Linked DNA regions of Canis lupus familiaris. The protein of the gene in region 2 binds, or shares a complex with, the protein of the main gene of each other region. Links are inferred from orthologs where the notes say so. Each region holds a gene or a part of one and is shown on either strand. Other genes may lie near its edges.

Region 1 (5,614 bases), on a different chromosome or scaffold from region 2:
CACCTGAGGAGCTATAAAAAACCATCTCTAGGGTGAAAGGTTACTGAGTCTGGGATCTAGTCTGGGTAATGAATTTCCAAAGCTCGCAAGGTCAGGCTAACAAGCAGCTAAATTTGAGAACCTATGACCTAAAATGTATTGGTCAGATTTATGCATAGGTTTTATTTCTCCTTGTTTCTATCACAGTAGATAACAGATCTAGGAATAACCAGTACTGCATAAGTTATGAGAGTAATATATGCCCCAACTCTCCAAATTCTTACTGAGAATACAAATCATTATCAATCAGGTTCTAATGTCAAGAATCTCAGTTTCATTTCTATACTCCTACCAAATAATTTAATAACATGTTTTTCATAGTATTTTAAAGTTAAATATTCATGGACTTATAATAAAATGACAATCTATTTTTAGATTAAGAGGTAGATATGTAAAAATGTGATTTTAAAGTATATGGAAGTGTCTATTTCTAATTACAGATTAAAATAAACTCAGATTAGTTAAATTTATAAAAAATAATCCCCAGACCTGGCACTTATCCCAGGAGAAATGCCCAGAAACAGAAAGGATTAGCAAAAGTTTACTTAGTATTTATACTCGAAGTAGGTACCAATGTGTTACAAACTGATTATCACTCTTTCTTCATAACGCCTTTCCTAATTCTTTTGCTAAACTGAGGTCTGTAAAAAGTAAGGATGCAATTCCATTCTAAGGATCCCTCCCTACCCCTTAAAATGCACATCCAAAATACCGAATGAAAATATTTTAAACTCAGGTATTAGCAGAAACTCCCTCATTACAGTAAAGAGTACTGGAGTACAAGTCAACTACCACATGCTACTAATGATGTAACTTAATCAAACTTTCTCAGTAGACCTTCTCACATCTTAAAATAAGGTGTAGAGAGTCCAATAAGAATGTGCAAGCACAAACTAATGCCACATAGAAATATAAGATAGCACTACATATATCTAGGATAAGCCAAATAATACATAGTGTGGCAGTGCAAATAAATGGAGCCCAGAAATGAATATTTTCAGCTTTAGCACTAGTCACACAACAAGCAAATCATGTATCTTAACTGCATTTTAAAAATAAAGATACCTCAAATAGCTTATCTTGAGAATCTCTAGATCAAAAGTCTATATCTAAAAATAACTGATTAAGGGGTCCTCTAAAGCAAGTAAGATTAATAGTAGGAAAAAAAAAAAAAAAAACCTACCAAGAGTTTACTTGTAACATGACTGATTTAACAAGTCTCTTTGGACATTTTAAATTTGTCTTCTAGAAAAGTCTATCATTTGGCCATCCTTTAAAATAGCAAATTAAAAAAAAAAAGTGAAGAAATGGAGTAAAGGGATCTTAAACAGTGCAAGAACACTATGTAGAATTAAAATAATGTAAACTTATTAGGATAATGAAGTATTAAACAGCTTTTTCTAAGGAAAACTTATTCAAAGTATGACATTTGGGATTTTATGATCTATCCCAAAGAATATACAGCCATTTTTTTTTAATTAAATACAAGATATGTTTTCAAGCTCTGCAAATAACTCATAATTTCTTCAAAAATTATTCTAATTAATACAGATGGTAGTAGATGGAGATTATTTCATTTTAATTTATTGTTTAGTTTTAACACATATCCTGCCAATCACAAGATACCTAGTGTGCCCAAATACATGAGAAATCACTGTAAGAACCACAAAGTGCCTTGCAGCTTTTTGTCAGGATGCTAAGAAAATGTAACAACAGAGACACAGCTTGTCTCAATTATAAGGTCCAATCATTAATCTTCTTCAGAACTAGAATCATCCTCTTGATCAGAGAGTTCAGGGACGGGGAAGCGGAGAATGGCAGCTACTCCAGTCAACTGACTGAGCTGTTCTCCCGATACATGAAGACTAGAGAATATCCTAACCGTGCCTGCATTCTCTTTCACACTGTCCACCAACTTCACATACCGGCTCCGGGTAGCAACATCCTGGTGCCTGAAAAGCTCATCGCTGATGAGCAATGTATCAATTGCCATAGCCTCATTGGCTTTCTCCACCTGCTTGAGTCCATAAAAAGCTCGGTCAGGTTCATGTTGTAACATTTTATAGAAGTCATCCAAGGCTTTTACTTCCCCAGCAGCTTTAGTGTCTGAAAGGCGGCTAGCTACAGAAGGGTCACAAAGGGCCTCTTTCAGGGAGTACTTGTGTCCAGAGGAGGCATGTACCTAGAATCATAATTATGAAAGTTAGACAAAAGAATCTCTGAGAGTACCCATTAATCAGCCTGCGATGACCTAGAGCCAAAAGCACAACTGAGGCTTTATAGGTTTGAGGACTTAAGCAAAGTTTACTAGATACACAAGGCCTTTTAACAACTCTCTTTGCATTTCATTGTCTCATTTACAATCACAGTCCGGTGAACCCCTTGTCCTCTTGTACTTTTCCCGGTTCTAAAACTTAAAGAGGAGTTTTATACAAATCCCTCTGCCCACTCTTAATTATCCTTGGAGAAGACTTTTTACCTGAAGGAACTTGGACCGGTTTTCCAGGAGCAGTTTGTTGTCGGTCTTCACTGCTTGTTGAAACATGTAGTCGCAGAACTGCTCCCTCACAAATCCTGGGCTGGCCACCAGGATGCACTTCACTACATCGAAGTTTATGTGGCGCTGGATAGCCTGGACCACCTGTTCATAGAATCGCTCCAGGGCCCGGTCATGCTGCGAACAGTTGCCTTTCCGTTTTCTAGGGATGTTCACCTCCACCTTGGCCCGAGTGAGGGTCATGCTGGGAGTGACTAAGCAGATATGGGCGAGGCCTTCCTGCATGACCACAGCCGCCACATCTGCACTCCAGGCCGGGTCACAGGCCTGCTCAATGCGCTCCAGAACCACACTGTCCCACTGTTTCTTGGCCAGGGTGAACTGGCGGTTGGGCTCCAGCTCGATGGTGTGGTAAGCCCCCATCTTGACATACTCATTTTCTTGGATGTTGGTCCCCTTAACCCGCAGCTGGCAGGCTTGAGAGTCAAAATCGATGGCCTCCACGCAGAGAGTGAGCGTAGTGCGCACCCGGTTGCTCCCTACGCTGCCCGTGGAGGACTCGGTCTGCACCTTGCGGATGGTGGAGGCACGCAAGCTGTCGCCCACCTGCACTAGATTGTAGGTGTGCCACATATCCTCAGGTTCCTCGGGGACGAGGGTCACCTGGCCCGCATTGTCTTTCTCAATGTCCTTCCTCACGAGCTTCATGACGCCGGCGGCGGGTGGGGGTGGGGGTGGGGGTGGGGGTGGGGGGGCGGTGTTCACAGGCAGAACGCGAGGCCACGAGGAGGTCCCCAGTGGGAGGGGGGCAGGGAGGGGAAAGCGGGTCTGGGCCGGGGAGGGGGCGGGGCCCGCGTCCCCGCAGGCACTAGCCCGGCGGGAAGGAAATGCTCTAGTTCTGACTCAAGCGGCCGACGGGAACACTTACGCCGGCCCTTCTTTTCCTGGTCTCCGCGCGCGCCGCGCCGGACCCCGCGAGAGACAGAGCAGCCGGCTTCTCCGAGGCTCCAGCCGCCAGCGCGGACCCAGGGCGGCCGCCAGCAGAGCGCATGCGCAGCGCGCAGCCCGCCCCTCGGCGCACGTCTTACGTCCCCACGGGGTAGGCGGGGTCGCGGGGTCGCAGGCCCCCGGGGCGCAGGCGTAGTCGTCGCCGTCGCTAGGCGCGTTCGGAGGAAACCCGCGGGGGGAAGCGCTCGGAGGCGGCGGCGGCGGCGGCGGGTCTTTTATGTTAATACCGAACCTGTTTGTGCAGACTTTGGGGACTATGTGAATGCAAACTGGTTTTTTTTTGTTGTTGTTGTTTTTCCAGATGCGTGAAGTTGCCGCTGTTTACCTTCTCTCCCCTTGGGCTAAATCCGGTTTCAAACCTTAACTAGAAGTAAAAGGAATTCTCCGAAGTGCACACTTGCTCCCAAAGTTCTAAAACGTGCTTTCGCCTTATCCGCACCCCAACGCTGCCCACCTGCTGGAGTTGCTATTTCCAGAACCGGTTTCTAACAACGACGGGTCTCGATGGGTCTGGGCTCCGAGCAATCTGCCCAGCTGTTTGCCGCGCTTAGTCACCGTGTCTGCACCGACCGACTTCCCCAGACGTTAAAGCGCTGGCCCCAGAGACACAAGAAACCGTCTGGGGAATTTACCCCTGGGTGGACCGCTCAGTTGCTTGCCCTGGTGTCCTGGGAATCCCAGAATCCAAAATTGGCAGTCTCCGCTTCACGCAGCTCAGTAGCCTGTGAAATACTTAGGTTGGGGGTTGGGTCGCAAAAGCTTAGGGCCTGACCCTCACTGCTAACGTCTAGCTGAGAGCTGAGGGTACTGGAAGTGGGGAACGTCTGATTTACTAGGACCAACAGGATTTAAAGAAAATCTGTAAATCTCTTGGCGTTTTATGGTGGCGAGAGGTTGAAAAGTGAGGATTGCCTCTTAACAAGATCACTGAATAGAAAAAGCCCCCTTCTTGCACTTCCAAGAAAACCTAGTAACTTTTGAGTAAGGAACTGATTGCACTAAAGCGTAAAGATGGGTTGCTTCTCCAAAGGACATTTACTAATAACTAGGGAAGAGAAATACTTTGAGTTGCTCCTTGATCACTTTTTTTTTATTTATTTATTTTTTGATCACTTTTTTTTAAAGTAGAATTTACCTCTCTGCAAAGCCTGACAAAGATTAAAAACCACAGATTCAGAGTGGCAGGCATACAGTAGGATCTTAACAAGGGTTAAGTTTTTATTGAAGAGCTATCATTTATTGAATATTCACCAGGTACTTTCCTATACTCTTCTAATCCTCTCCTGTAAATATTTGTTATCCTCATTTTGTGGATTAGAAAATGAATTACGGGGAAATAAATGAATTCAAGATCACATAACCAGCTTTTAAATTCAGACCTGCTTAACTCCACACCCTCTCCTCTATCCAGTGCTGCAAACTATATTACGGATGCTCAAAATCATCTCTGCAATCACAAATTATGTGCTGTCATTCACTGCCACTTCTTGTCACTTTTACTAGTTAAAGACACACAGCTTAGGAACTAACAGGATCTGAAAAGCACAGTCCCTTTCTTGCTTTCATTACTTTTAAAAAAATCTTTATATTCCTCCATTCAACATAGTTTTCCTTCCGTCCAGTCTAGGTCACCATTACAATCCTTGAGAAGAATCCAGTATTCTACTTTAGAAAACTATGCACATATTTCTACACTTTAAAACCTGTGGGAAACCCCCATTAACTGTTAATTCTGTGGTTCTTTTAAAAAGTTTATTTAAATCATAGGGTAAACTACTTTGAGCTGTCTTTTTTTTTTTTTTAAGACTTTATTTATTTATTCATGACAGAGAGAGAGAGGCAGAGAGAGAAGCAGGCTTCATGCAGGGAGCCTGATGTGGCACTTGATCCTGGGTCTCCAGGATCACGCCCTGGGCCTACGGCAGGCGCTAAACTGCTGAGCCACCCAGGGATCCCCCTAAGCTGTCTTTTTAAACATAAATGGGCTTCAGTGATTGAACATATTACAAAATTTTTCATAGAATTACTATTTGATCTGAAATGGAACGATTTTTTAGTAATTGTAACTTA
Region 2 (5,705 bases):
GCCACCCAAATGCCCCTAGTCTTTTTTTCATGTCAGTCAGTAATTACAGCCTTTCTAGGCCTCATCTTAGACATTTTTCAAAACCTTAAAATACTGAATTTTATTTTATAATATGTATAAGTTTTTACTAAGCACAGACTTACATATGATGCTTTTCTAATTACTTTAGTTATTTCCTTCTAACACTATACAGTTTAGTGAACTAATTTATATTTTACCTAGAAATTACTTGAATGTTTTCATGAAACCAAGAGAAAGGCAACCCTTTCGTGTTACTGAATTGCAAAAGAAATAATCAAGTCAGACCCAAGCCCTTCCAATGCTGGGCCGGCTGAGCTTCAGGTCTCTATCCACTCTGTCAACCATAGTTGTTCTTTCCCTTTTTTTTTTTTTTAAAGACTTATTTATTTACTCATTAGAGAGAGAGGGAGAGACACAGGCAGAGAGAGAAGCAGGCTCTTCACAGGGAGCCTGATGTGGGACTGGATCCCCAGACCCAAGGTCACGCCCTGAGCTGAATCAACTGCTGAGCCACCCAGGCGTCCCAACCATAGTTGTCCTGCTTGTATCTCTTCTCCATACTGGAGTTAAATGCTTTCCTTTGAAGAAAAGCTTCTATAACTAAAAACAGATTTGAAACCAGAAATTGTGATTTCTCCCAGGTCTGATCAGAACCAGAGCCCTAGTTATTTTGGTTGAACACTTTTATGAGAATTTGTAGAGATTTGTTTGTTTGTTTTGACTTGCCTAAATGCAGATTTGTCATGTTTTGGTTTTAGAACTAGCTGTGGTCATTCAAATATTTGCAAATTACAGTCTAAGATTTCACTTAATTTAGCCTTTAGAATCCTTCAAAAGAACTGGAACCTTCACATACTTAAGTTTGTTCCCTGTGGTTCTAGATGAAGCTAATCTAAGTGGTGTTAACGAATGAATGCCAAAATTGTTAGTAGAGATTTGCAAAAGCAAGAGAAAAGGGGAGAGTAGATATGAGGTTTTTAATGAAGTTGCAAATATAACTAATGTGACCCTTTCCTGAGGCCTAGGATGAAGGGTCTGAGTTGAGACATAAAAATGCCCCGAGAAGGGAAAAAGGAGTCTGCTTTTTGTTATAGTAGACAAGAGGAAAATAATGTACTGTTCTCATATAAACTGCTTTTTGTATGTAATTCTTTGCCAGTCTCAAATGGAGTTGGATAGAATTGGTTTCATTCTTAATAACTTGTAATTTAACCTGTTATTTGTCCAAATTCTGTTTATCTGTGTCACTGAAAGGAATGTAAGGTATATTGTAGTCTGATTGATTAGATCACATTACTGCTAGCCATCCATAGGATAGCACTGATACAGTTTCTGTAGGTAATGGTCAAAGAGCTTAATGAACTAAGGTCAGAGAGAATAAGTTATGCTAGATGGTCTTGTTTCTACTTTATGTATTGAGTCCCTCACTACATTATAAGCTTTTGGGATTAGTAGATAAATTTCTCATCTGCATCTTCTTTTCTTCTCAACATCAATGTCTAGTATAAGTTGTAATTTTTAGAAAATCAAGTATTTGTTTAGTTAATGAATTAAAAACTTCTTTGCTGAAAGTATTGAGAAAATGTAGACAGATAAGATATCTATCTCCCTTAAGGATAGTGTTTGAGCAAAAAAGATTAAAGTCTCTGTCCTGTTGGAAGAATGAGTTTGGGATAATTTTTTTTTTTTTAAATACTACTTTACCTCTGGGAACACTTTTAGTGCCAAGTTTTGTTTTGTTTTGTTTTTTAAAGATTTATTTATTTATTTATGATAGAGAGAGAGAGAGAGAGAGAGAGGCAGAGACACAGGAGGAGGGAGAAGCAGGCTCCATGCTGGGAGCCTGACGTGGGACTCAGTCCCGGGACTCCAGGATCGTGCCCTGGGCTGAAGGTGGCGCTAAACCGCTGAGCCACCCAGGGATCCCTTTTAGTGCCAAGTTTTACAAAATCTCTTCTTTATGCCATGTTTTGATAGGATCATATGGCTAAGGCTATGGCCTTGAATTCAGTTATTTTATGGGATATTTTCTTCTTATCTCAGCATTTGGTAGACTGTTTTTCTCCTGGGATCTTCTAAGTCTGTATTTGTGTGGTTTGTGTCTAGCTACTTAAAATTTCCACCTTAATAGGCTAGCCACTTAGTAGAGATCATTTTTGGTCTGCAAGTGTAAGGAATTAGAAGAGACAATTTCTCTGCCCTTCTGACATTAACAAGAGGATGTCAGTTGAGTTGGTTTAAACACTTTTTTCCTATCTCTGCTTTCTATAGAGTAACTGAAGAAAATGGTCATAGTTTCCACACACTTCAAAAAGAACATCTTAGTGAAGAAACCAGCATTGCTTCTTCTGATGTTCTTGACACTGTTTCTAAATCAGTTCTCCCATCCCACACCATTCAAACATCAGAAGAGCAGAATTCACCATCAGTACCGGTGAAGAAATCTGGCAAGCTGAGGCAGCAAATAGATGTCAAAGCGGAACTGGAGAAGCGGCAAGGAGGGAAGCAGCTCCTCAACTTGGTGGTCATCGGTAATGCCCTTTAGTCCTCTGGATGGTCACTCACCTCTGCTTTAGCCTAGCAACCTCCTAGTGGCAGCGTGGACACTCGTTCCCACTCTTTGAGTTTCTGTGTTGGTGTAAATGGACACAAGCAAGGAGGCATTGCATCATGATGCTTTCTAGTCACTTTGTGGGGAATGATGCCAAGTTATCAAGGAGTTATTAGACTTGTGGCATTTTCATTTTGTGAATATTTTGAAAACGCCATATCTTACTGACAGTTTTAATTTCCAAAAGTCAAGGAAACTCCCCCCCTCTCTAAAGAGATACTCTTTTTTTTTTTCTCCATTTACTTTAACTATCTTTTGATAAAAATTGGTATTTATTACTCGAAACACTGACACGAATTATTGGATTACATATGCATGCAATGCCTCGATGTGAACAACGTCTGGAAAATGTACCTAGTATTAATCCTGAATCAATTTTCCTTAGGTCATGTTGATGCTGGGAAAAGTACTCTGATGGGCCATATGCTTTATCTTCTGGGTAATGTAAACAAAAGAACTATGCATAAGTATGAACAAGAGTCTAAAAAGGCTGGCAAAGCTTCGTTTGCATATGCATGGGTCTTGGATGAGACTGGCGAAGAAAGGGAAAGGTAGTCATTATATTTCAAAATTTTCAGTTTGCAATGATATATAATCTTTTAAATAAGTATGTAATATGTGTTGAATGAAACATGCCATGAAATATTTTAGAAACTTCTTTTAGAGGAAAGCTTTCAATTATTGGGGAAATATTTTTATTATAGTTTCCATTGAATCTGTATACATTTACTATTCCAAATTCTATGAGAATAGTTGAATTTTATCAAAAAAAAATTAAAACACGCACACAGTAAAAGGCAGTAAGAACCCTTTGTTAATTATTCTGTGGGAGAAGTTTCAGTTGTCCCTTCCCGAAATATGTCAAATTGACTTGATATTGAATTAAAATTACGAATGAGACTAAATTTTATAGAAGATAACTTTAAGGGAAGGTAACTTTTTGCAGTAAACTCTTTTCTGTCTGGAATTAAAATGACCAGTAAATTTAAATTATCACACTTAATTCATTTTTTATACTTTCTGTAGGATGTTTTTATAAGATAGAGTCAACAAACAAGTAATTAAACCTACCTCCTACCATGGAGATTTAGTCTGTTACCCCTGTATCTATTACTGTGCCCAATGCTAACTCTGCAGGAGAGAACAGCTACTCATGGACCTCTGGCCAAAGTATTTCTTTTGAAGTCTTTTTAGAGTGATCATATGTATCATGTTAGAATTGTCAGGGATCAGAGAGCCAATGGCACCTTTGTCAGGAAAGAAAGAAGGCACCTAAATAAGTGAATTGGCAGGTGTATCAACTGTGTCAAAATAATAATTAAGTCCTCTGAAAGTCCTCTGAAAGTCCTAAATCAACAAAGGAAGTATTCTGTGTTTCTTATCTTCCTTCTGAGTATGATTAGAGAATATATTTGGATTTTCATACTTTAAAAAAGGTGTATATTTACTTTCTTGGAGTCTTGAATAGTCTACATTAAAATATATAAGGTAATCTCAATAAAGGGGGTCACAATATTCCTCAGCTCTTGTGATAAACAGAATTGTATATCAGGGTGGGTTTTTTTTTCTTTTTGTAGGTGTCTTATTTATTCTTTATAGCATCACATGCTTGTTTTCCAACCCAGTAAGGAAAATTAGTTGGTGGCAAATTTTTGGAAAATGAATATTGGAAAACAGTGGAATTTTTGTATGATGTCAATGTTAGAAGAACAAATAATTTCCACCTATCAGCTTACCAAACGGATTATTAAAATACATGGCTCCTTAGTTACATTTGTGTCATCTGTTAAATAGGTAAAGAGATTGAGAATGGTATAATTTAAGTTAGGATGACTTGTTTGAATTAATATGTGAGTTGAACTGGCAGGTGAGCTAATTATTTAATTTCTGGAATAGTCAATAATTTTAGTGGGGTTTTTATTCTTTTTGATACTATATCTACTGGTTGGCTGTTATATTTTTGCTGCTAGTAGTTTTCTATTGCTCAGAATGATGCAATTTTAGAATATTTTATGGTTCTGTAGATAGCAGATGCTTCTAGTTACATAATAAGAATTTTAACTCACCAGTAGTAATAGTATTTCAGTAGTATTTCAAAAATACAGTGTGTTATATCCTACCATATTAAACATTTATAAATTGTTCTGCTCATATGTTGAACAGAAATTAGTATAATGAGGGATATTTATATCCCTAGGGTTACAAATGCAGACCAGACCTGGCTCCAAAGAGTGTGTTTTGGTCAAAGCAGTCTATGGAGAAGCTCAGAATGAGTCTTGGTTCATCAGTCATCTAGACAATTATTTGAGGATTATTAGAATTAGACATCATTTTCACCAGGTCAAATGGCCCATGGTTTCAGATTAAGTTAGAATGACTTGAGCAAGGAGACCCATGTGTTATTTCATTGCTCTGCTAGGGTATTATCAGAACAGTTGGTAGTAGAATGGAGTGCCCATTCATTACTCTGGACTGTTTGGGGCAAGCCAGGATGAATGATTACCCAGTTTATTGCCCACCCAATTTCCTTTTCCTGATGTCTAGAAAGACTCAGTACCTTTGTAGACCCTCCCTGGGCTTTCTTATAATCCAAACCTACATTTTTTTTGGCTAAGAAGAGGCACTGTGTTGGTCTTCAAGAAGGACGAAACGGGATGTAAAACAAACTGTTGTTTAGTTCTCTCGACTTTTAAAAGTTTTGGTATCTCCTTTGATATTTCCTTTTTTCTAAATGTGGAACATTCTGACCTACCTTACAAATGAAAGTTTAGAAGTTTATTTTTATCATTAGTGAAGTATCTACATATGAAGATGAGGAAAACTGCCTCCATCCACTTTACCTTCTCTCATGGGCAGTATTTTCTGTTTTCTCTTCCAGAGGTGTCTCCATATATTTTTTTGTTCGTAGTCTACATAGCCTCTTACCCCCAGAAAAGGAAATGGGAAACATCCAGCATTTTTGTTAAGCTCTTGCTGTGTCCAAAATCTTATTTTAAAGGCATACACATGTAATTCTGTTAATTGCAGAAATTCTAGCTCCCAAGTGATAGCTTAATTAGTCAAAACAGTAGAC

Evidence for each region.
Region 1: HBS1L (region 2) and PELO share a complex: the UniProt entries of both Homo sapiens proteins name them as parts of the pelota-HBS1L complex. The link is inferred for Canis lupus familiaris from reciprocal best matches to the Homo sapiens genes HBS1L and PELO.

The regions. Positions count from the first base shown.
Region 1 is NC_049225.1:63,364,947-63,370,560, forward strand, and holds PELO (protein pelota homolog), read right to left. Parts: upstream 3,285-5,614; 5' UTR 3,245-3,284; coding exon 2,519-3,244; intron 2,222-2,518; coding exon 1,790-2,221; 3' UTR 1,597-1,789; downstream 1-1,596. UniProt on the Homo sapiens protein: Component of the Pelota-HBS1L complex, a complex that recognizes stalled ribosomes and triggers the No-Go Decay (NGD) pathway.
Region 2 is NC_049222.1:27,967,735-27,973,439, reverse strand, and holds part of HBS1L (HBS1-like protein), read left to right. Parts: intron 1-2,292; coding exon 2,293-2,552; intron 2,553-3,017; coding exon 3,018-3,183; intron 3,184-5,705. UniProt on the Homo sapiens protein: GTPase component of the Pelota-HBS1L complex, a complex that recognizes stalled ribosomes and triggers the No-Go Decay (NGD) pathway.